3 linked regions of the Drosophila melanogaster genome follow. Changing the gene in region 1 together with any one later gene gives a genetic interaction. Each region holds a gene or a part of one and is shown in the gene's direction. Other genes may lie near its edges.

What was found. A genetic interaction does not mean that the proteins touch.
Region 2: of kibra (region 1) and Snr1, changing one suppresses a phenotype caused by changing the other (phenotypic suppression), as found in Drosophila melanogaster (one study listed by BioGRID).
Region 3: of kibra (region 1) and CycE, changing one suppresses a phenotype caused by changing the other (phenotypic suppression), as found in Drosophila melanogaster (2 studies listed by BioGRID).

Annotation. Positions count from the first base shown.
Region 1 is NT_033777.3:14,719,440-14,728,056, reverse strand, and holds the start of kibra (kibra), read left to right. Parts: upstream 1-3,795; 5' UTR 3,796-4,483; coding exon 4,484-4,746; intron 4,747-8,617. Other genes in the region: CG7530 (uncharacterized protein), read left to right, coding at 730-867, 1,910-2,017, 2,127-2,600, 2,668-2,898. UniProt on the Drosophila melanogaster protein: Regulator of the Hippo/SWH (Sav/Wts/Hpo) signaling pathway, a signaling pathway that plays a pivotal role in organ size control and tumor suppression by restricting proliferation and promoting apoptosis.
Region 2 is NT_033777.3:5,469,420-5,475,197, forward strand, and holds Snr1 (Snf5-related 1), read left to right. Parts: upstream 1-1,506; 5' UTR 1,507-1,639; coding exon 1,640-1,911; intron 1,912-2,405; coding exon 2,406-3,246; 3' UTR 3,247-3,335; downstream 3,336-5,778. Other genes in the region: POLDIP2 (polymerase (DNA-directed), delta interacting protein 2), read left to right, coding at 1-20; mRpL44 (mitochondrial ribosomal protein L44), read right to left, coding at 142-1,040, 1,093-1,159; HDAC3 (histone deacetylase 3), read right to left, coding at 3,457-4,526, 4,596-4,684, 4,747-4,904; CG45100 (uncharacterized protein), read right to left, coding at 4,954-5,070.
Region 3 is NT_033779.5:15,741,668-15,748,492, reverse strand, and holds the start of CycE (cyclin E), read left to right. Parts: upstream 1-1,882; 5' UTR 1,883-2,009; coding exon 2,010-2,038; exon of another isoform or gene 2,039-2,236; intron 2,237-2,849; exon of another isoform or gene 2,850-3,101; intron 3,102-6,825. UniProt on the Drosophila melanogaster protein: Essential for the control of the cell cycle at the G1/S (start) transition. Targeted by archipelago for degradation by the SFC ubiquitin ligase complex.

The DNA of each region.
Region 1 (8,617 bases):
GGGAATTCAATTGTTCCTGTATTTCGTTTTAATGAGCGGTTATATTTAATTTGTATTGAAAAATGCATATATTTTTATACTTACTGCTGCATTTATGGGCACGACGCTTACTGCACATGATTTTCCTTTAAAGCGGAATGCAAAAAAAACAATGCAAATTGTAAACAAAACGTCATCACGTTGGATAAGATACTTTTGCTTAGGCACTTGCACTTGCCCTCCCACACTTGTTGTTGTTGTTGTTGTTTGTTGTTATGCATTAGATTTAGAAGCTGTATAAACAAATTAGAGTCAAGCCCCCTTTCTCAATTTTTGCTGCAGTTTGCTGGAGGCACTAATAGTAGCGATGTTTTGATTGCATTTTTGCAATGCTGGTTAGTCGGTTGGTTGGTTGGTTGGTTGTTTACACACGAAACCGAAAACCCCCAGACGAAAACAACAACAACAACAACAACGTATAAAATAGCAGAAACCGCAGAAAAGATAATAATAAAATAAAAGCAAACAAATCAATTTTTCGACTGCAGTTGCTCTATTGGCTAAAAATATACACAAATGTGCAGAGAAACAAACCCGCCAGTTGCCAACGTCAGTTTTCTAAGGCGGAAGAATATGAGTATAGATCTTGAGCATCGTTCTTGTCCTCAATTCAAATTAAGTTTCGAATTGCCGCTAATCGATAGGGTTTCCTCCATTTTAACTAATTCCATCTTAAATCTCTTTTCGCAGCTTGATGGCCAACTGGTTGCGGATTCGGTGGACGCAGCGCATCAATTTCCGTCCAATGAGGAGCCCAATATTCTGGGGCATGGACCCAACTACGACGACAAGCTGTCCAAATTCAAATGGCTGTGCAATTTCGATGATGTGAGTTAACCCCACGCGCGAACTTTGGTAGGGTCAATTTGTCGCCAATTGTCGCGCACTGAATTCTAATTGATCGCAAATTTTGTTTGGCGAATTGAAAAAATACGTCAGAATCAGGGACAAATCGCAGAAAATATTCACTCATTGCATTTTACATGGCTTTAACACTGATTTTGGCCAATTGTTATCGTCATACGTATGTATGTATGGCCAGAAAAGCATTATTAAGCGACCGTTGTAAAATGGCCAAAACGCTTAAATATGTGAAATCCGCCATGGCGGTCGAGTTGGCAGCAATTGCCAAATAATACAATTAGACAACGAACAAACCCACCAAATGCCAACTGAATCAAGGTCGCGACTAGCAACAAATAAAAAGCTCTGTGCTTCGCGGGCATTAAATATTTAAATAGCGGTGGCAAATAAAAAGAAGCTACTGTTGTTTTCTTTGGGTGGTATGCAAGTTACATACATATATGTTTGTGAAAATCCTCAAGGTAACTCCCGAATCGAATTTCTTGGGTTTTTCGGACCATGCTTAGTTTTGACCAAGTTAAATATTCGACTTCGAACTGGGCTTAAAACGGGCTTGAAATAATTACTGTTTCCGATTGAAAGGCATTAATTAAGGTAATAATACATAAATGCAGTGCAAAACTAGCTTAGCACTTGTTTAACTAATTAAATGGATTTTTTATAATATATAAAACTTAGCTAGTTAAATTCAAAGAAAGTAAATAATATACACAGTATTTGGCATTTAATCAATTCCCATACAAGATTGCTAACAACACAAATTGGATTAATTAGTTTTATTTTCTTTCAATTGAAGCAAATGGAAAGCTTTTTGGTTTTTTTTTTTTACATTCGGCGGGGTGCCAGATCCTCGAATTATTCCGTTTGTTTCTATTTTATTTTGTCATTTTGTCTATTTGGTTTTTATTTTATTTTCAATGCTACACGCATGCGATTTGCATGTCTTATCGGCTTGGAAAATTTTGTATTTATTTGGAATGTTTATTCACTTGTGCTTTCGATACAGGCCCCCAGTCACCTGAAGTTCAACCCGTACATTCGTCGCGGATACCGCACCTTTCTACCTTCCACAAAAATGTGCCTGCAGAGCATTTTCTGGTGGACCAATGAGACGGTAAGATTGCCACACTAGAATGATACTCCATTCCAATTGGAGCTACAATAGTTTTCCTTAAACTCTATTCCCTATTATTATAACATTATTATTGCTATATTTTTCATAGATCAACATCTGGAGCCATCTGGCCGGTTGCATCCTGTTCATTGGACTGACCATCTTCGATCTGCAGTTCCTGCGCCTCCACGCCTCCCTGAGCGACCAGGTGCTGGTGGTCTGCCTGCTGGTCTGCTTCTGTCTGTGCATGCTGATGTCCGCCATATACCACATCTTCTCCTGCAAATCGGAGGAGCACTACGAGCTCTTTCTGTCCGTTGACTTCCTGGGCATTTCGCTGTCGCTGGTGGCCATCTATATCAGTGGCATGTACTATGCCTTCTGGTGCCACACCTTCCTGCGCACCCTGTACTCCACGATTGCACTGGGCATGTTCGCACTGGCCATTGCCGTGCAGATACCCCGTTTGAATGTGTCCATGAACGGCAAGGTGGCGGTGCTGCTACTCTGGTCTGCCTATGGAATCATACCTCTGGGCCACTGGGCGGTGGCCATGGGCGGTCTGGAGAACGAGCTAGTCAGGGTAGGCATCAGTTGGAAATTTATGGAATCTTGTCATTTGCTAATCCATCAATCATTACCATTTGCAGCTGATGGTGCCCCGCATCGTGCTCATGTACTTGCTCTGCCTCGTCGCCTTCGTTTTCTATGCGGCCAAGATTCCGGAGCGCTGGTTCACCGGCAAGGTGGACTTCGTTGGGCATTCGCACAACTGGTGGCACCTGATCATCGTGGCCGCCTTCTATCACTGGCACAACACCGGACTGGTCTATGCCGAGTATCGCCTGAATAACGGATGCACTGCACCAGTTCTCTCCTAGAACTTGAAGATCCGAACATCTGAGTTAAGATCCGAAGATCCGAGGAGCGGAGATGGAATCCGGGACTCTAGTAGACTAAAGCTTAGTGTAAATAGTTTATGGGGCGCTCTTTATCCGCTAATAACTAATATTTAGTTGTAGTTGTTGACCGATATGATTAATTTATGTTTAATTTACCAATTAGTTAGGGTTTCGTGTTAGACAATCCAGATCCAGATAGTTGGCATCGCATAAGCGGCAAAAAGGTTTCTCTCTTTATATCCTAATTGATTTCCTTTAATATATACAATTAAACAATGTCAATGAAATTGCATGTGTCTTGAGCTGAAGCTGTGTTAGTCTTGTTGACTCAATTTTTACAATTCATAAAATGCAAATACAATATCAAACGTACAAAGCAAGCGAAATTGTGGTTTTATTGAAGTTATGTTTCGGAAACATAATTTATTTTTCTATCTATGGTTGGGATACATATTGATTTCGAAATGCGTAACTCAGTTTACAGTCTTTTTTTTTAAATTTTTTCTTTTTCTGTTTTTAAAATGTAACGGAAATGTTAGGATTAAGATAACAGTAATTGTTAACAGAGCGAGTTAACATGATCTATCGGAACTGGCTTTGATTAACATCGCTTGAAGAACCGAACTAGTTCCTGTTACCAAGCCGATCTTTGAACGTACAACTCCTATTTTCTTCCCTCAACAATTACACCTATGCTTGGGGACTACACAAGCCAAATAACAATAAATACTTTTCGTGCATGATTGTTAAATATCGCATCTCTGCAACCGCGTCAATACAGCCTATAATATCGATATCAACCAATACATCGAATAACATCGCCGCGAGTGTATCGATATGCAATGCGATGTTTTCTGCTACACCACTAGCAGCGAATGTTACCAAAACAAATTCCGAATCCGAATCGGACGGTCATCAAGCGCGCTACTCGTGTTTTTTGCTGCTCCCCCAAGGAATTCCGGAACCGAAGAGATCGGCGACGGCGCGAACTCACTAAACTGAAGTACATATTTTTTTGTGAACACCAAGTGGATGGTTGGATTATCGTCGTTAATTAGTTTCAATTAGGCGAAAATAAGAAAATAAGTAAAGGAGTTCAAACGCTTGCAACAACAAGAAATGAAAAGAAGCAGCACCAACTGTGAGCAGTGATCGTGTGCGCTTGTGTTCGTCCCCCATATGTGTGCGTGTGTTTGAGCTGGAATGGAATGCAGTTACGAAAAAAGTAAATAAATAATTGAGAGCGCGCCCGCGCTCTCCCGCTCTCTCTCCCCTGCGCGCGTGTGTATTCGAGTTGGCTCGGTGTGTGCCTCTACGCCCGTCACCGTGTGGCCGTGTTGTGTGTGTGTGTGTGCGGGTCGGTCTCCATTATCGCCGGAGCAAAAGAAACGGAATTGAAATGTCTTTGCTAATGTAAACAGCGCAAAGAGAAACCCCCCGAAAAAAGAAGCAAACGTAGATAGCAATAGCGAAAAGAAAGAAAAGGCGCGCGTCGGGTGAAAAATCCAGCAACAACGACGTTTTCTCAGACTAACCAAAGTACACGGCGAGAAACAAAGTTAAAATGCCGAATCTGCAACAAACCGCATCGCAATCGCAGCATCATCTGCATCCCCACCACCTGCGACCCCAACAGCAGCAACAGCAACATCATCATCATCATCAACAACAGCAACAACAACAACACACGCATCATCAGCAGCAGCAACAACACCACAGCGACTTCCCACTTCCCGATGGCTGGGATATCGCCAAGGATTTCGATGGCAAGACCTATTACATAGATCATATCAACAAGAAGACCACCTGGCTGGATCCCAGAGATTGGTAAGTGTTCCGGAAAGGGTCAATTAAAGAAACGAAATTGAAACAAGGGCGATCTGAAATATAATTATAAGATATTTGCATTTGGAAAGTTAGTTTAAACTTATTAAAACTACTAGAACAATTATCAGAAATGAGGCATACATAACGAATGACCAAACCAACAGGTTGTGTTTTAAATAAGTTATAGATGCTTTAACATCGCAAACTATCAAGAGTGCTTATAAACCCCAATTGCTGCTTAATGGCTAATAAGTGAAGCAGATAACTCATTGAGAATCAAATTAAAATAGAATAAAATTCTTGGCAAGTTGTTAGTGGCTTAAGAAGGCATAAAACGCAGGTGAGAGATCAGCAGTTCACTCATTCAGGAAGCTCCGGCAAACGAGCTAAAAAAAAAACCCATATAAATTCCGATTCCGAAGCGCTCTTGAACCGGAAAGAAAAGGTGCGTGCTGCAGCTGTGTGTGTAAAGGAATGCGATCGGTGGAGGCGAAATGAAGCAAAAAAAAAAAAGAAAAATAAAAGGAAAATAAAATAAAGAGGCAGCAGCAAAATAAATTACATATTTTAAACAAGACAGCAGCGGCAGCAGGCAAAACAAAACGCAACGGAACGGGGGAAAAACTTGGAGTAAACATTCCGATGCGATGATTAAGACTCCGAATATAACTGAACTGAACAGAGAGTGGCAACAAACAAAAAATGGATTGTAAAGCCAGGGAAATACAACAACAAAAATTCGAGTGAGAGAGAGCAAAAGTTAAATAAAGCTCGGCGAATGATCTGTAAAATAAAAGGAAAACAAAACCAACAAACTCATACGTAATGAGTGCGAGAGAGCCAAAGGAGAGCGAGCGAGAGCGCTGGCGATCAGGCCATGTATCTCATAGATACATTTTAGTTTGCCGTTCGCTCACATTTTTTGTCTTCCATCTCGCTCGCGCCCCTCGCTGCCGCCCCACTCGCCATCTCTGTCTGTTGCTTTGCCCATAAACAATTGCAAAATGTACGTAGGAATTTTTGCAGTTTCGAAATAATTGATTTCTGAAATTCTTCGCCCTCTCTTTCGCTGAGTTCAATTTTTCGCTTTTCACAGATAGAGAAATGTGTAGTGTTAGATGGATTTTGTATCTTCAATTGCTCGATAGCAAATGCTTATTGCCTTTCTGCAGTTGTACAGCATTTTCATTGACATTAGACACACTCTATAATTTCAATATCACGTTGCAAATGATTTATTAAGCCATCAAAGCTTGAATATTAATTTTTTCCAGTGCATTTCTATCTGTGTACGCCTTATTGTTTCAGTTCGTTTGGTGCTGTGTGCGCTTCACGCTTTCAATTAACACAAACATTCCCTTTGTTTGTTTCAAATCGCATGGACATTGTTGAAAATGTTTCACTGAATTAAGCGTTGTGGAATTTCAGCTCTTCCGCCCGCCCGCCTTTGAAATTGAAACGAAACATCTGCGCATTTGCTAGGGTTATGCATCAAGTAGATTATAAATGCACACATGTCGTTCAAATGTCTGCCAGTGGGCACAAAAAGTCAGCGATCTATGAGCGTTACGTTCCGATTTCGGGGTTATAGAAATTTAAAGCTTAAATGACCTTAGGGGATTTACTTACTATTTGAAAAACCAATCAGATTATGAAGAGGGATACCATAGAATATAAGAAATAAAAACAAGAGTAAATGTTTTATTGGTATTTTCTGTATACATCTGCAAAGTATGTCTTCGAATTTAACTAACTATTCCATATTTTTCCAAAATAGTTTTACCATTTCTATTGACCAAACAAAACTATTTAATGCTGTATACACCCCTTATTGGTATTTTGCCCAGTCGCGCATATTTTGTATCCAAATCATATACGCTTTTTGGTCCCCTCTTCGGCTGTCTATCGATCCCCCGCATCCAACTTGCTATTGCTATTGAATTTTCAAAATTGCTGCCGGTAGCGCGCAAAAATTCCAATAAACCATAAATAAATTTCTACAATAAAGCGAAGCGAGCCAGGCCTCGGGCAACCTTTAAAGGCCTCGCCACGTTTCGAGCACAGCCAACAGAAATCACAGAAAAAATAAATATCTATTCCAATATGAGCATGCAAGGTCGAATTATCGATACCCTTGAAATATTTTACCGATAATTGCTTGGGCCGGCTTTGACGCAGGTTTTTCTAAGGTTTTCTAAAATTAAATAAACATGTTTGCAATAGTTTAACAGTAGATTCTGTTTGTAATGTCTATAATTTTCAAATTCGGCTTAAGTTTAGGCATTATCCTCATTAGATAGTAAATCGTGTAAGATTCAATCAATTAATTAGATGACTTTTGTCTGTAAACTAATAAAATGACTGATCAAAATAATGGATTTTAAAATTCGCAGCGTATTCAACTTAAGTAAATGTTCATACAGCATTTCGACGGGCGGTATTTTTTGTGATTTTCGTTGCTGTTGGCTCTCTTTTGTTTTTTGTATAAACAAAAGTTAACAACGACTTGACTTGGCCATGCGATTTGGCATTTTTTCGACGCCCGTCTTCTTCTTTCGTTGCTCATATTTTTTCGCAAGTTTTTGTGTATTATTTTTTTTACCAATTGTTTAGCCATAAACAAGGCGGCGACATAGTGGAATATTTTTCGTGTGCGTTTTTAGACAGAAAACGTGTTTGGTGACAGTATTTCGATCTATTCATAGGAGCTACAAAAAAAAGAAATAACCAAAAAAGCACGGGGAAAAAATCAAAGTATGAAATAGCAACAAAATCGTTTGGCTACCAGTTGGGATAGTGATTCGAACTCGTTTGTTTTACATAAACTCAAATCGCCGCCAAAAAGGCCTAGCGAAAGCGGTTAACGATCGCTGTCATAAGTCGGACAGAGTGGCGCCAGCGGCGGGGGCTGTACTTGAGTATCTGCATCCGATCGGTAGCACAGAAAAAGATATAAAAAAGCAATAGGTGCACCGCAAGAAACGGTGCAACGGTATTCTAATAAATGAGTCAGTTCATTGGTATATCTTACTACATTAACTTAACCTTATCATCAGTATGTTGCCATATTTCTCGCTGTGTACTCTAGTCCCAACCAGATTGTTGCGTTCTAATTCCACCTGTGGCATTTTAATTCGAGAGCGGACAATCGAGCGGTTGGTTCGATTTCGATGGATCGCCGGATGGCCGGATTGCTGGATTGCTGGATTGCTGGATCGGCCAATTGCATAAAGAACGCAAATCGGGCGATCGAAACAAGAGCTGCAAAATAGGGGAGAGGCGTGAATGCGTGTGCTGCCAGGCATTGTGCATTAGATGTGGCGATTTCTATCCGACTCAAAACGAGCTAAAAAAATTTGCATAAAATTCAATTTGGCTTTTGCGGCGAAAGATGCCAGCACATCCATACGCGTATGTATAAAGATACATGCATATATAAGTATAACTATTCGTACATATATATAGATATATATATATATGCGCTGGTCTGTACATGTATAGCAACTTGGAAAGCTGCAAAACGGCATTTTTCATTTAATAAATTGCACAAGGCAATGCAGCAACAACAGCGGCAGCAAGAAAAGTGGAAAGAATGCAGATGCAATTGCCGTTTGCTGCTGCTGCACCTACAGTGATAAATGCCATAAAAACAATGTCAAAAGATTGCAAAACAGTCTTTATTGCACCCAAACTGATTCAAATGTACAAGTAGCGAGCGTAAAAGATAGATGAAATGTTTCAATGAATACGCTAATACATATTTCAGTTTACGTTATTGTAGTAACATTTTAAATTGCAACAGCAGTGGCACTTAGGCAATAACCACTGTACGCGGGCAACAGATGCAGATACACGGCAGCGGCATCAGCAG
Region 2 (5,778 bases), 9.3 Mb from region 1:
AGCGCGACGATAGCGATTAAGAGGCAGTTGTTCACCCGTAGTTAAATGATTTTAAAACGCAATCTTTTCTGACAATGCATGCGTACATGTGTTTAGTGCAAATTACAATAATCAACAAGGACGCAGAGCCAGTTTTGATTCTCAGCCAAGTCGCACGGTCTTTGGTTCTAGCTGAATGGCAAAGTCAAAGGGTCTCCGGTTGTCGCGGGTGTCAAAGATGCTCTGCAGAGCGTCGAGTGCCGCAGTCTCTGTGGCTGTTTTCACATCTTCACCGAATCCCTTGCCCAGTAGCTGCCGGTTGGCGTAGATGCCTACTTGGTAGGCGGCTAGCACAGTGTTCTTTCCGCAGTCTCCAAGCAGGCGGGGCTCCGCTTCGCCCAGCTTTCGCTCCTGGCATATCTTCTCCAGCAGCTGGATTGGTTCCTGGGGAGTCCACACCTCCAACAGGTCCTTTTGATTCAGTTGCGTGCAGATGAAATCGCGTACAAAAATGAAAGCCCTCTCGATTCCACTGGAACTGGCCAGGGCGCCAATAACTGCGTGTAAAGATTTGGCCTGACTTTCGGCCGAGGGCGGGTATTCCGTAGACTGTATCAGATCCTTTGTGCCCAGGTGGGTCGAGACGTGAGCAAGCGTTTCGGTGCTAAGTAGATAACTGGCGATCGCCTGGAGTCCTTCATTAGGGACCTTCGGTAACTGGTGCTGCAGGAAGGCCTCAACGTAGGCACGGGCAATTTGTTGGCCCTTCTCGACCAGATCGCTATTGTGAGGCATCTGGAGGTCAGACTCCTCAATGCCTAGCTGCCGACGACGATCCTCCTCCCGCTCTGCAAACGATTTCTCTGTAAAAGCACGCTGCAGCTCCGACAATTCAAAGGATTCGCCCAAACGCTTGCCGAACGCGAAGAGCTCCGATCGCTGGTTCCACTCCACGAACCCAGAACGCCGCTCTGGCTTTTGTGGTCCTAGTTTCTTCTGCCGGTGGGCGAGCTCACGTAACGTTGGCGAAACCCATCGCTTGATGTGGCGCCTCGTTTGCACTGCCGAAAATCACGATTACTGACTGGCATTAGGTGAATCCGGGTTACTCACCAGTCGGTGAGCCCTCCAAGAGCTTGACACGAGCCAGGAGACCAACAGCACTGCGTAAGAATGACATCTTTAAAGCGATCTTAAAAATAAGTAACGAATATGTTTTCGCGCATGGGAACTAGTGTTGCACGGGTTTTTGTGGCAGTGATGGCAGTCTAACCGTAAATATAATTTTATAACTTATAACTTAACTTATACATTTTAATAATATTTGTTTCTTGTTGTTTCTATATTTATTCAGAGATGTATAATTAAAAAAAAATAATAATAACTAAATATGTTTCTTTATGAATTATAATTTTATCATTTAATCGAGTAATTATAACGAAAAATACTTTCAGCTTTTTATTTAGCGTTTTGTAGCTAAAAGGCGCCAGTACTAAATTGCGTTGGTGGCACCCGCTCGTTTTCCAACACTCCCGCAATAGACGCCATGTACATGTCTGTGTTTGTGTATGCGCCAAGAAAATTTAAGTCGCGGAATATTAACAAGGAATCCCTGCCAGAAACAGGGCATTGAGAGACCACAGAAGAAAATATACCCAACATGGCACTGCAGACATACGGGGACAAGCCGGTGGCCTTCCAGCTGGAGGAGGGCGGCGAGTACTACTACGTGGGCTCGGAAGTGGGCAACTACATGCGCCACTTCCGCGGCATTCTGTACAAGAAGTACCCGGGAATGACCCGCATCGTCCTGTCCAACGAGGAGCGCAAGCGGCTGGCTGAGTCCGGCCTCAGCTCCCACATCTTAGCCAGCTCTGTATCGCTGCTCCGCGCCGTAGAGGTGGATGATATCATGGCCGGCAACGATGAAAAGTAAGTGGGCGTCTTACCTAAGTAATGTCCCCAGAATAGTAACTAAATAGGGCCTTTCCTAAAAATTCCAATTAACTTCGTTGATATCTACTTCCTACTAGTCCTACTTAAACGTTTGTTTTTAAATGTTTAATCCAATGGTATCAAGTAATCCTTTTATCAAATATAAGACATGTGTACATTTGGCTGAAGATTCTTCATTTTAGTAACATTGTTAATGACCACTTAGTTAAAAACCACTTATCATTCTGAAGTGAAGACGTATACAAACACACATAGCCACACACTGCCCAGTTATTTTGAAAAAATATGGAAAAATGTCATAGACATTTTTGGCAAAGCTGCCACAATAGTCTGTATGATTGACAACGATTTCCAATTGAGCACGGAGAATTGTATTATTGTCAGAATGTTGGGTAAATTTTGCCTGCTTGCAGGGCCAATCAGTCAATTTGCTAACAGTTGATTTAACTAACCATGAATCTCCGTCCCAGGTATCGCGCCGTCTCCGTGAACACTTCCGATACGCCAGTGCCGCGGGAGAGCAAGTCAAAGAAGCAGCCACAGTATGTGCCCACGATGCCGAACTCCAGCCACCTGGACGCAGTGCCACAGGCCACGCCAATCAACCGAAACCGAGTGCACACGAAGAAGGTTCGCACATTCCCGATGTGTTTCGACGACACGGATCCCACGGCTAGCCTGGAGAATGCGGCGCAGAAGGAGTGCCTGGTGCCCATTCGACTGGACATGGAGCTAGAGGGTCAAAAGCTGCGCGACACCTTCACGTGGAACAAGAACGAGAGCATGATTACTCCGGAGCAGTTTGCCGAGGTGCTGTGCGACGACCTGGACCTCAATCCCCTGCCCTTTGTGCCGGCTATTGCACAGGCCATCCGACAGCAGATCGAAGCCTTTCCCAACGATCCCCCCATCCTCGAGGAGACCTGCGACCAGCGGGTCATTGTTAAGCTGAACATTCACGTGGGCAACACCTCGCTCGTCGACCAGGTCGAGTGGGACATGTCCGAGAAGAACAACAACCCCGAGGAGTTTGCCATTAAACTCTGTGCGGAATTGGGATTGGGAGGAGAGTTTGTTACGGCCATTGCCTACAGCATTAGGGGTCAGCTATCGTGGCACTGTCGAACGTACGCCTTCAGCGAGGCCCCTCTATCAACGATTGATGTGCCCTTCCGGAATCCCAGCGACGCTGACGCATGGGCGCCATTCCTAGAGACGCTTACCGACGCCGAAATGGAGAAGAAAATCCGCGACCAGGACCGCAACACGCGCAGAATGCGACGACTGGCCAATACCACAACTGGTTGGTGATCTTCCGCCGATCCAGCAATGTGTCACTAATGTAATCCTCCTATTAAGTACCATTATGCATCCCAAATAAATGTGTGTCTGTCGATTTTAAAACCTATTGTCTTCTACGCGCTACTTCCAAAAAAAATAGTTCCAAACGATGTTACAAAATAAGCTGATACTCTTTACTGCTTACGCTAAACTCGAATCCTTATTCTACATTATCCAATACTAACTTTCTGCCGAATCGGGCTTGTCTTGGTCCTGATCGCCGTCGTAGAACTCGTTCTTAGCATCAACCAGCTTGTCCTCATCGGCTACGGATATTCGCACGTCGGGATCACTCGCCTCCTCCCGGTTGCTGCGCAGCTCCTCCAAGTCCACATCAGGCGGGGTCTGCACCATTTGGACGCTGGGCGAGTGCTGGCACATCTTAAGGTTTTCATACACATGCTTAACGATGAGTTCAAGATACTGCTTTGAGTTAGCATTATCTTGGCGTGAGTTAATCTCTGGATGGAGTGTAAAGTCGGGGGCGAAAAAGTCGTAATACTCGGTGGCGGGTAGGTCATTTTCAATGTCTTGGTCCACCAGCAGCGAGGTCTCGTGCGTCCAGCAGCGGGCCACGTTCCGTAAGGTGTAGCCACCGCCTCCGACCACCAATGTGGGTACGTTCAGTTCCTTCACAAATTTGACACACTCACCATGTCCCTTGGTGCTCAGGGAGAAGCAACCTAGTCGATCTCCAGCTAGTGAATCCGCGCCACACTGCAAAACGATAGCCGTGGGCCGGTAGAAGTCCATAATGGCAGAAATTATGGGTTTGAACACCTGAAAATAGCTCTGGTCATCAATGCCCTCCTTTAGCGGCACATTAACGCTGTAGTATCGTCCCGATTCGGCGCCTATCTCGTACATGTCTCCCGTGCCGGGAAAAAAGTAGTTTCCGTATTTGTGGAACGAAGCCGTCATCACTCGGTCCGTAAGGTAGAACGCCTCCTGCACCCCGTCGCCGTGGTGCACATCGATGTCGATGTAGAGCACCCGAGGATGGTACTTAAGCAGCTCCAGAATGCCGATGACGATGTCATTCACGTAGCAGAATCCGCTTGCCTCGAACTTCTTGGCGTGATGCAGTCCGCCCGACCAGTTTATGCATATGTCGCTGTGGTTGTGGTTCAGCTTCTGGGCTCCCTCCAGCGAGGCACCCGTGTACATTGCACAGAAGTCGAAGAGGCCATCGAACACGGGACAGTCCTCGCCTACGCTGAAGTGCGCCAGGTACTTCGTATAGGCCACGGCTTAAGAACAGAAAATTATCAGATTATTCTAAATGTTATTCCAATTGGGCGACTTCCTCTTCAACTCACAATTGCACTGAATGTTTTGTGGAGTCACCTGCTGTAAGTAGGCGATGTACTCGTCGCTGTGGAAGCGGAGCATGTCCTGCGCACTGGCCCTGCAAAGAATTCCGGATTAGTATAATTTACGCGGCACAGACACACCTCTCCGCCAACTCACTTGTACGGCCTGTAGATCTTCATTTTCTTGTGCAGTCCGTAGTTCATTACCAGGCTGTGAGTGACCGCCAGGCGTTGCGGCTTCATGGGATGCCCGGCTCCATAGTGGAAGTTGCCCACGTCCGCGTTGTAGAAGTACGACACCCTACGGTCCGTCATCGCGCCAACTTCTCAATTGGATCGGTTATTGCAGGGACGCCGTAGTCCCCTAGTTGTGGACCAAATCCTCGCCGGGCAGCAGGTACGTCTTCGCATACAGGACAATCAGCAGAACGGCCACGATGAAAAGGAGTCGCCGGGTTGTGTCGTATTCGCCCAACAGCATGCCGCTCCCGTGGTCACCTTTGGGTACCTTTGTTTAATCGTGAGATATCAATTTGCTAACTTATTGCCAATTGAAGACAACTTAAAGCGGCGTGCGCCGATAGTGTACTAAAAATGGACATAGCTAGTGATGTACAAACGCACAGTCACGTCACGAGAGCATCCCTATGGTGATGCTATAATTTTTGTTCTGCTCAATTCACAAGTCTCTCTGTGCATGTGGTTTTATTTTATTTTTGGTCGATGTAAGGAAGGCTAGATGTTGTAAAATATACGTGTGTCTTTTAGTTTTCATTTAGGTTTATTTTTAAGCCTAATGTATTAAATGAAATAAATACACGAACGTACGCTTGCCAAAAAAAAAACCCGCCAGATATGACCGAAAGCCGCCGGGCCGGCAGCACTGTCCAGTTAGTTTATCTTCTATTTTGATTTTCTAATTCGACTCTGCTCGCGCTAATTTTCGTGATAGAGAATATTGGAATATTGGAATACGCGTATTGGAGTATTGGAATTGGAGAATGCAGTAATCAACAATAAAAGTCAGTGGACAAGGGAATGCAGAAAGTGTGTCAACTGGCTAAAAACGGCGAATCAGGAAGCGCTCCTTTGGGCAACCGATAAATCCGCCAGCCGAGCAAAATCGGAGCCAATTACGAAACCGCCATTGATTTTGGTTCCCATCAATATGTAAGTTGTGCCCCGGCTT
Region 3 (6,825 bases), on another chromosome or scaffold:
GGAAAATCCAATTATTTAATATCCGTTAATCGAACAATCAAAGCAAAATTTATATAATACAATTTCTTTTCTAAAACCCCATTTAACATTAAGCACGTTGCACATCTTTTATTATTTTAAATACCCGATTTCCAGATATGATCAGCCCGGAAAAATAGTGAACTAAATATGCAGAGCAGTAAAAGTCAGGCTAACATAGAAGTTATTTTTCAAAATTTGAATAACGCGCCAATAAAAATCCCGCAACGCGATCGGCCGTAGTGGCAACGCCGCTGCCACTAAACTCCGACTCTCTCTTTGCGCCGTGTGGCCAGATGATTATGGCCTTTTTTTTTGCTCTTTCATCGCTCTCTCGATTTCGATCTCGTCACAGTGCCACTTGCGATCATTGTGTTACTTTGGAGTCGCTGAAAAATCGCGGGGATCGCATCGAATTGGCCTTGACTGCCGTGGGGTTGAGCTAGCCGTGAAAAAGACCGCAGAACCACGATAAATCTGTCGAAAAAGGTGACAAAAAGGAGGCTATACTGTCTTGCTGGCTGGCGTGCGTGTGTATGTGTGCGGCGGTGTGTGCAATTTTTTTCATCACCATTCCAGTCCGCGTGTGTTTTTCAGTGTGCAATCCCGCTGAGAATTTGCCCGAATCCTGCCCAACAGCAGGTGAGTGATGCCGGCCAATTGGCCCATTCGATTTGCAGCAGGTGCAGGGTTCAAAAGTTCGTGAACTTGCTTTTTAAGCCATTTCCTTTAGACCCCGTTTTCTCCATCGATATTGTAGCAGTCGAAAAGTAATGGAAAAAAAACGTGAGCAGCGACGTCGACGTTTTTGCCTCTTTCTCTCTCTGTTCCCCTGCCCCTCTCGCGCTCTCTTCCGCGCCTTCTCTTTGCGCGCGCAGCTGTCATCGCTGTCAGCAGCGCGCGCCGACGTCGGGTTCCCGCGCGCGGGAAATCATCAAGTTCAATCGATTCTAATTTGGCCGAATTGAACGGGATTTTCGATTTTAGTGAAAAATCAGATTCTGCGAGTTTTGATCTTTCAATTGGTTATAGGCACGCATGGTTTTTCATTTAGCTTACCTGATTTATAAGCGCTCGAAGTTGGTGCCAAAAATGCTCGAATGTTAATCGATGAAAACAACAAAGTGGCAGTGGTTTGTTTGGTTTCAAAGCAGCGTTACCACCTAGTTCGACCTCAGTCATCTTGTCATATGTTATTTGGCTGCAGTTCATAAAAACTACTAGAAAAGCATATTAAACCATGTAATTTCAGGCTTCTGAAGAATAAATAAATAATTAAAATTTTAAAGATTTATGAATACCCTTCAAGATAAATTTATTTTAACCTTGAATTGATTTTGGAGCGCTTTAAAAATATATTAAAAAAAATAGTTTCATATTAAAATTTAAATATTTATTTTCTGAAGGTCATATTTGAATTAAAATTGGCATATGACATAGAAATAAATCTTAGGTATTTATATATAACCACGATATATCCGACTAAATCCGCCCTTCTGGCATCCTCGTCAGCTGTTTTTCGACCACCCAGCTGACTGGACGTCGAACCTCCAATTGTAGTCTGACTAGCCTGTTGGGGACTGGGGACTCCAATTGCAGACTCCATTCAATAAAATGCCAAGCTTGCCACCAGCGGCTTCATCGCCCCGTCTCGCTTTCTCACGCTCTGTTCTTTGCGCTGGAGATGCTCGCCCCATCTCCGTCCCTCCCCTAGAGTACAACAAAGTTGCCCCCTGTGTTTGTTGCATTTTTTGGCGCTTCGGATCCGCCTGTTTTGGCGCGTTCCTCATGCACACTCGCCGCAGTCGACGTCGCTGCTTTTGATACCCAGTTCCACCAATTTTTTTTTCGGTTCCAAAGCGATCACTTTGCTGCCGCCGCTCCGCTGCTCGTGAAGTTTTTTCGTGGCCGGCGACGACGACGACGAAAAACTCTCGAAAAACGTTGTTCAATTCCCTTTAAGAAAAACAAGTGAAAACACCGGGGATATTATGTTAAGCATTTTTCCGCTTACTAGAAGGTAAAACCAATTGCACAATGGTTTTAGTGGATAAAAGGCAATACGTTATTCAGAGTGGAATAAAATTTATGACGCGTGTGCGGTGACAAGTGTGTGTGGAACAGTGAAGGAAAGAGCGGGAGAGAATGCTGCGTTTGCCGTCGTGTCTTTGCATTTTTTGCTACAAATACAACATCCTCTTATAAGAAAATTGACACGCTGTAGGATTTAACCGTTGCTTTCTGATTGGCAAGAGACGGGGTGTCCAACTACAAATTGTCTCCCCCACACAGTGTTTTAGTGTTCCCCCTATAAGGAAAAGTGTCCTATTAGAATTAAACCGTTATCCAATGGGAACAAATTGGAAAATCCTATGAAATAAATGAAAGCTTCTAATCACGTCTAAAAGTGCACTGAGTTTCTAATGCGTAACGGGAGTTCAGTGAACTATTACAGCTTTTCTTACTATAGAAGGCTTGAGATGCAGCTTATGGTTTACCCTGCTGTTTGGGCCAACTTTCTAATCTTTCTCCCGCCCGAATTGCACTTTTTCCCGCCATTCGCATAGATTTTGGGCGGTAAAACAAAACTGCCCCAGCCCAAACGCCTAATTCGCGCCACTTTGCGTTTCTCCATTCTTTTCCCATGCTCATTTCATTTTTATACGCTTCCTCCAATGACACACACACAAGCACAAACTTGGAAGAAATGCGCTCGCTAAGAGAGAGAGTAAGCTCTCTTTCTCTCGCTCTCTTCCGTTTTATTCCAATCAGAACAGCGAGTCAAGTTATTTTCCCCTTCCCAACACCAACAACAAACAAAAACGTTTTAGTACTGCGCTCTAAAACGGAAAAAAAGAGAGCATTTGACTGCGACGTCGAAAAAATTCGGAAAATCGCCGATCAGTCGACGGACCTTTCGAAAACTTGACGAACACGAAGCAGAGGTTCAAAGCAAAATGGAGTAAACGAGTGAAGAACAAAATAATGAATTATGTCAAAAGTGGCGCAAATATCTTTGGTACACGAAGAAAAAGATTGGTAGTGGCATTTAGCCCTTACCCACAATCTACGTACATACATATGTATGTATGTTTACATATGTAGAATTAATAATAGTATTTTAATTATTGTAAAATCGTGGTTATATTTATTTTTGTGAGTAGTTACTCTATGTACGTGCTCCCAACCAATGAGTGAGCGAGATAGACTGCCAAGTGGAGAATGGAGTTCATTGATATTTCTCGGCGTTTTGCTTTCGCTTCCCCTTCGTCTCCACCTTGCTTCGCGCCATCTTCGTTCTTTCCTCTTCTCCTCTGCTTCCATTTACCTGCCACATTCATTTTGTTGTTGTTTTCTTCGCAATTTTTGCTTTCTTCTTTATTTTTTGCATTCTTTTGACGTTTTTTAGTTTGCGTGTTCGCTTTTTGCGCCGTTAAACTTTTGGAGCGATCGCGGCGGGGGTGTGCGTGGGGGGTGGGTGGTGTATTGTTGATGGGGTGGATTTTTGTATACTTAATTTTTCGATTATGTCATGATCGTGCCGAAAATCAGCCGCTTATGTTTAGATTTGGCCAGTTTAAACCATGGGGAAATAAATTGTTTTTCTTAGAAGTGATTTTGAAAAAAGTAAGAGCATCAAGTTTTTGATGATTCAGTGTCGTGAATTTTGTATATTTTCCCAACATTTTCTTTTGTTTGACCCACCTAAACACTCCTTATATGATCTATTCAAATCCTAGTCAACACCTTTCAATTCTGCTCATGATCCTCCAAGTGCTTGCCACCTTCGAAAGCGGTATGTCATCAAAGGATTTTCTAGACGAGATGGGAACCCAAACTGATCTCGAATATTTTCTCATCATATGTACATACATACGTAAATGGTTATAGGAATCCACACATATCAACTGGCCATATTAACCCGAATTCCTAGTAAAATACCAACAATATTTCTCAATTACAAGTGCGGAATGTTTTACAAATATTACATGTTCTCCAAAAGGATGAGTTGTGAATAGTAACTCCTTAAATAAATGGTTCATATGTACATATGTATGTATATGTGGGCATTTTTTTTTTATAGTCCATACACATTTTTGTCGCTGCGGCAGAAGAATCCGATTCGGAATCGGAATGAGGTGAAGCCGTATGTATGAGGAGCAGAAACAACAATGATAAACAGTTTCCAGTTATTCCCAGACAAACAAAGGATAGTCCGTCCGACTGGCGATTTGTGGAGCGGGGAAGAGACAGGACGCAGGCCACTTGAGCTAGCTGACTCGCTGTGGGCATCCTTTTAGACGCTGCTAAATATAAACTAAATAGTCAATTGAGCGCGTCCCGATGTCCTAACGGCTACTTCAAGGCCATCGATTCTTGGAACTGGAACGCCGCCGTCGCCATCGCCGCCGCTGCCGCTCCATTCAAGAACTTTGATTTGTTCTCCTCCATCGGCTGGGCCGACTTTACTTTCACACGCCGTTTTGCCCAGGCGGCGCTCTTTAGATACCCGGCACACAGATACTCAGATACTCGGACTCACAGATACACTGATGCGCGCAGGCGAGGATCGACTTTCCTGTTCTCGTTTGCAGTACCCTGTAGTTCTGGGTAGGGTGGGCATATGCGACTGAAGCAACACAGCAAACTTGGGCCAATTGACCATTAGAATTTAAACGCATTCATGAGTATGAAAAGGAAGCATCAAAGATCGGGTTCAATTCAATGATGCTTATAAAGCAATCTTCGTGTATTGGTTTAAACTTTTAGTAGTATTATTTATAGTTTCATATTATGCAAATATGATTAGGCTTTCGATTTGAGAAAATATCTTCCTAATGAACTTCACCCTCTTACCCTATCAGCATTATGTAGCTATGTTGTTACACAACTCCTGCAGACTTTCGGTCCACCGAGTTCCAACTAATTGCAAGAGTGGTGGCCAAACCACAACAATGGAGAGGAGGCGGCATTGGCATGGACAACGCCACAAATGCCCAGATGCATGTGCATTTTTATCTCGAGTATCTCAGGAATGTATCTCGCCGCATGTGCAGAGGAGCCCAAAATGCAGCCCAAAAAGGACGCACAAAAATTGCAGGCCCAGACAGTTGAAGACGCCGGATAACTCGAGACCTGTTTTCCCTCTACATATGTACATATGTATATAGTCTGGCATATACTCGAGATACATACATATTTGTATATAATTTTTTTTGCGCTCTTCTTTGCGCATTTTGCGCATTCTTCTTTGCATTGCCTCAAGTTGCATTTCATATTGTATCTCGAGACTTGGTCCCATTTCCTTGTGGGAAATCTTCCGCACAAAGCAAATATTCCGAAGATGAGGGAAAAAAATACGGTCGACTTTATTTTCGACACTCGGTTTTCCAGTTAAATGACCTTGAAGGACCCCGTCCAGGTAAACAGATTCACTCATGCATCGTACACCTTTAATTAGGCGCTGTGCGCAAAGGAAACCCCCGAGTTTATCCGCTCGATCCGCGGCATTATTCATATTTGTATACCTGTCGCCGCGGATTTCGCCCGAACTCGCAGCCTTCTTCACTTAATCTTCATTAGAGGAAGTTGCAGCCGCAGCCTGCGTGTGGGCAGTTCCTGCAATTAGGTAGGAATCTATCTTAGTCACTGGTATTTGGACAAGAATTGGATTGCTCTAGCGATAATACAGTCATTTGTTTGCCAAGAGCCGCTGTCAACTGTTTTGTAAAACTAAAGGATATTATCGCATCCTTATTAACGAATATTAATTTTAGGACGTTTTGTGATTTACAAAAAAGATTACATTAATCCGACTATAAATGATGTTAGATGTGTAACATGATTACAACTGAGAGATAAATGTCTATTCTATTGCGTTTTTAGGTTTCTGCTGTATCTTAAAGATACAAATTGTTTCATAATGTTTTTTGAGCTCGAATATTTACAAAACCCAGATCTTTATATTGGGATTACGATTTAAATGATGATCTTATTAATTGTTTTAAGATTTTTAACATATTCTTAAATGACCAAAGAGACTTATTTTTCTGTGTAAGGAAATTTCTTTGTTGTAAGTAGAATAGTTAGGGGGTTGAAAACTAAGAAAGCAAAAATGCTCTAAAAGGACTTCGGGGAAGCAGAGGGAACCCAATTAATTAGAAGGCATATCCGCAATTAGTGTGAAAATGATGGTTGGAAACAGCAAAATATTGTGCATGAGAAAAGGCCGGAAAACGCAAAAGAAAAGCGAGGCAAAAAGTGAGGAAAATAGACAATCCGTTGCGTAAGAACAAGAAAGTAGGGGAAAGAAAGTCGTTGGCTAAAAAGCATTCGCATATGGGGTAGGAAAAAAAGGTGTCGAACTGAATGGTAGGCCGAAGGGAGGTCCATAAATCGTGGCGAATATAACGCCAGGCCCATATGTCACACGGAAAAAGGAAAATAAATGAAGGAAGAAAGGAAGCGAGGAGGGGAGGGAGGGGTAGGGCTAGGGGAAAAGGAAACGCGACAGGATACAATTAGCGAGGGGGAAGTCAATTGAAGTTACAAAAGCAACAGCAGAGACATTGCCAGAATCCTTTTAGTTGGGGTAGGATCTTCAACAGCTGCCACTCCACTCCCCTTCTCCAATCCCATCGACTCTACTCACCTGCCCCGCATCGCATCGAACCCATACTTACAGTTCTAACAGAAGGTCAGCGATCAACTCTAGCCACAACAGGTGCAACAGGGGCACTAAGGACTCGGCTCCTCGATATAATTAAGCGTTGTAAACCACTAGAAAATGCGGACGTTGCGCATGCG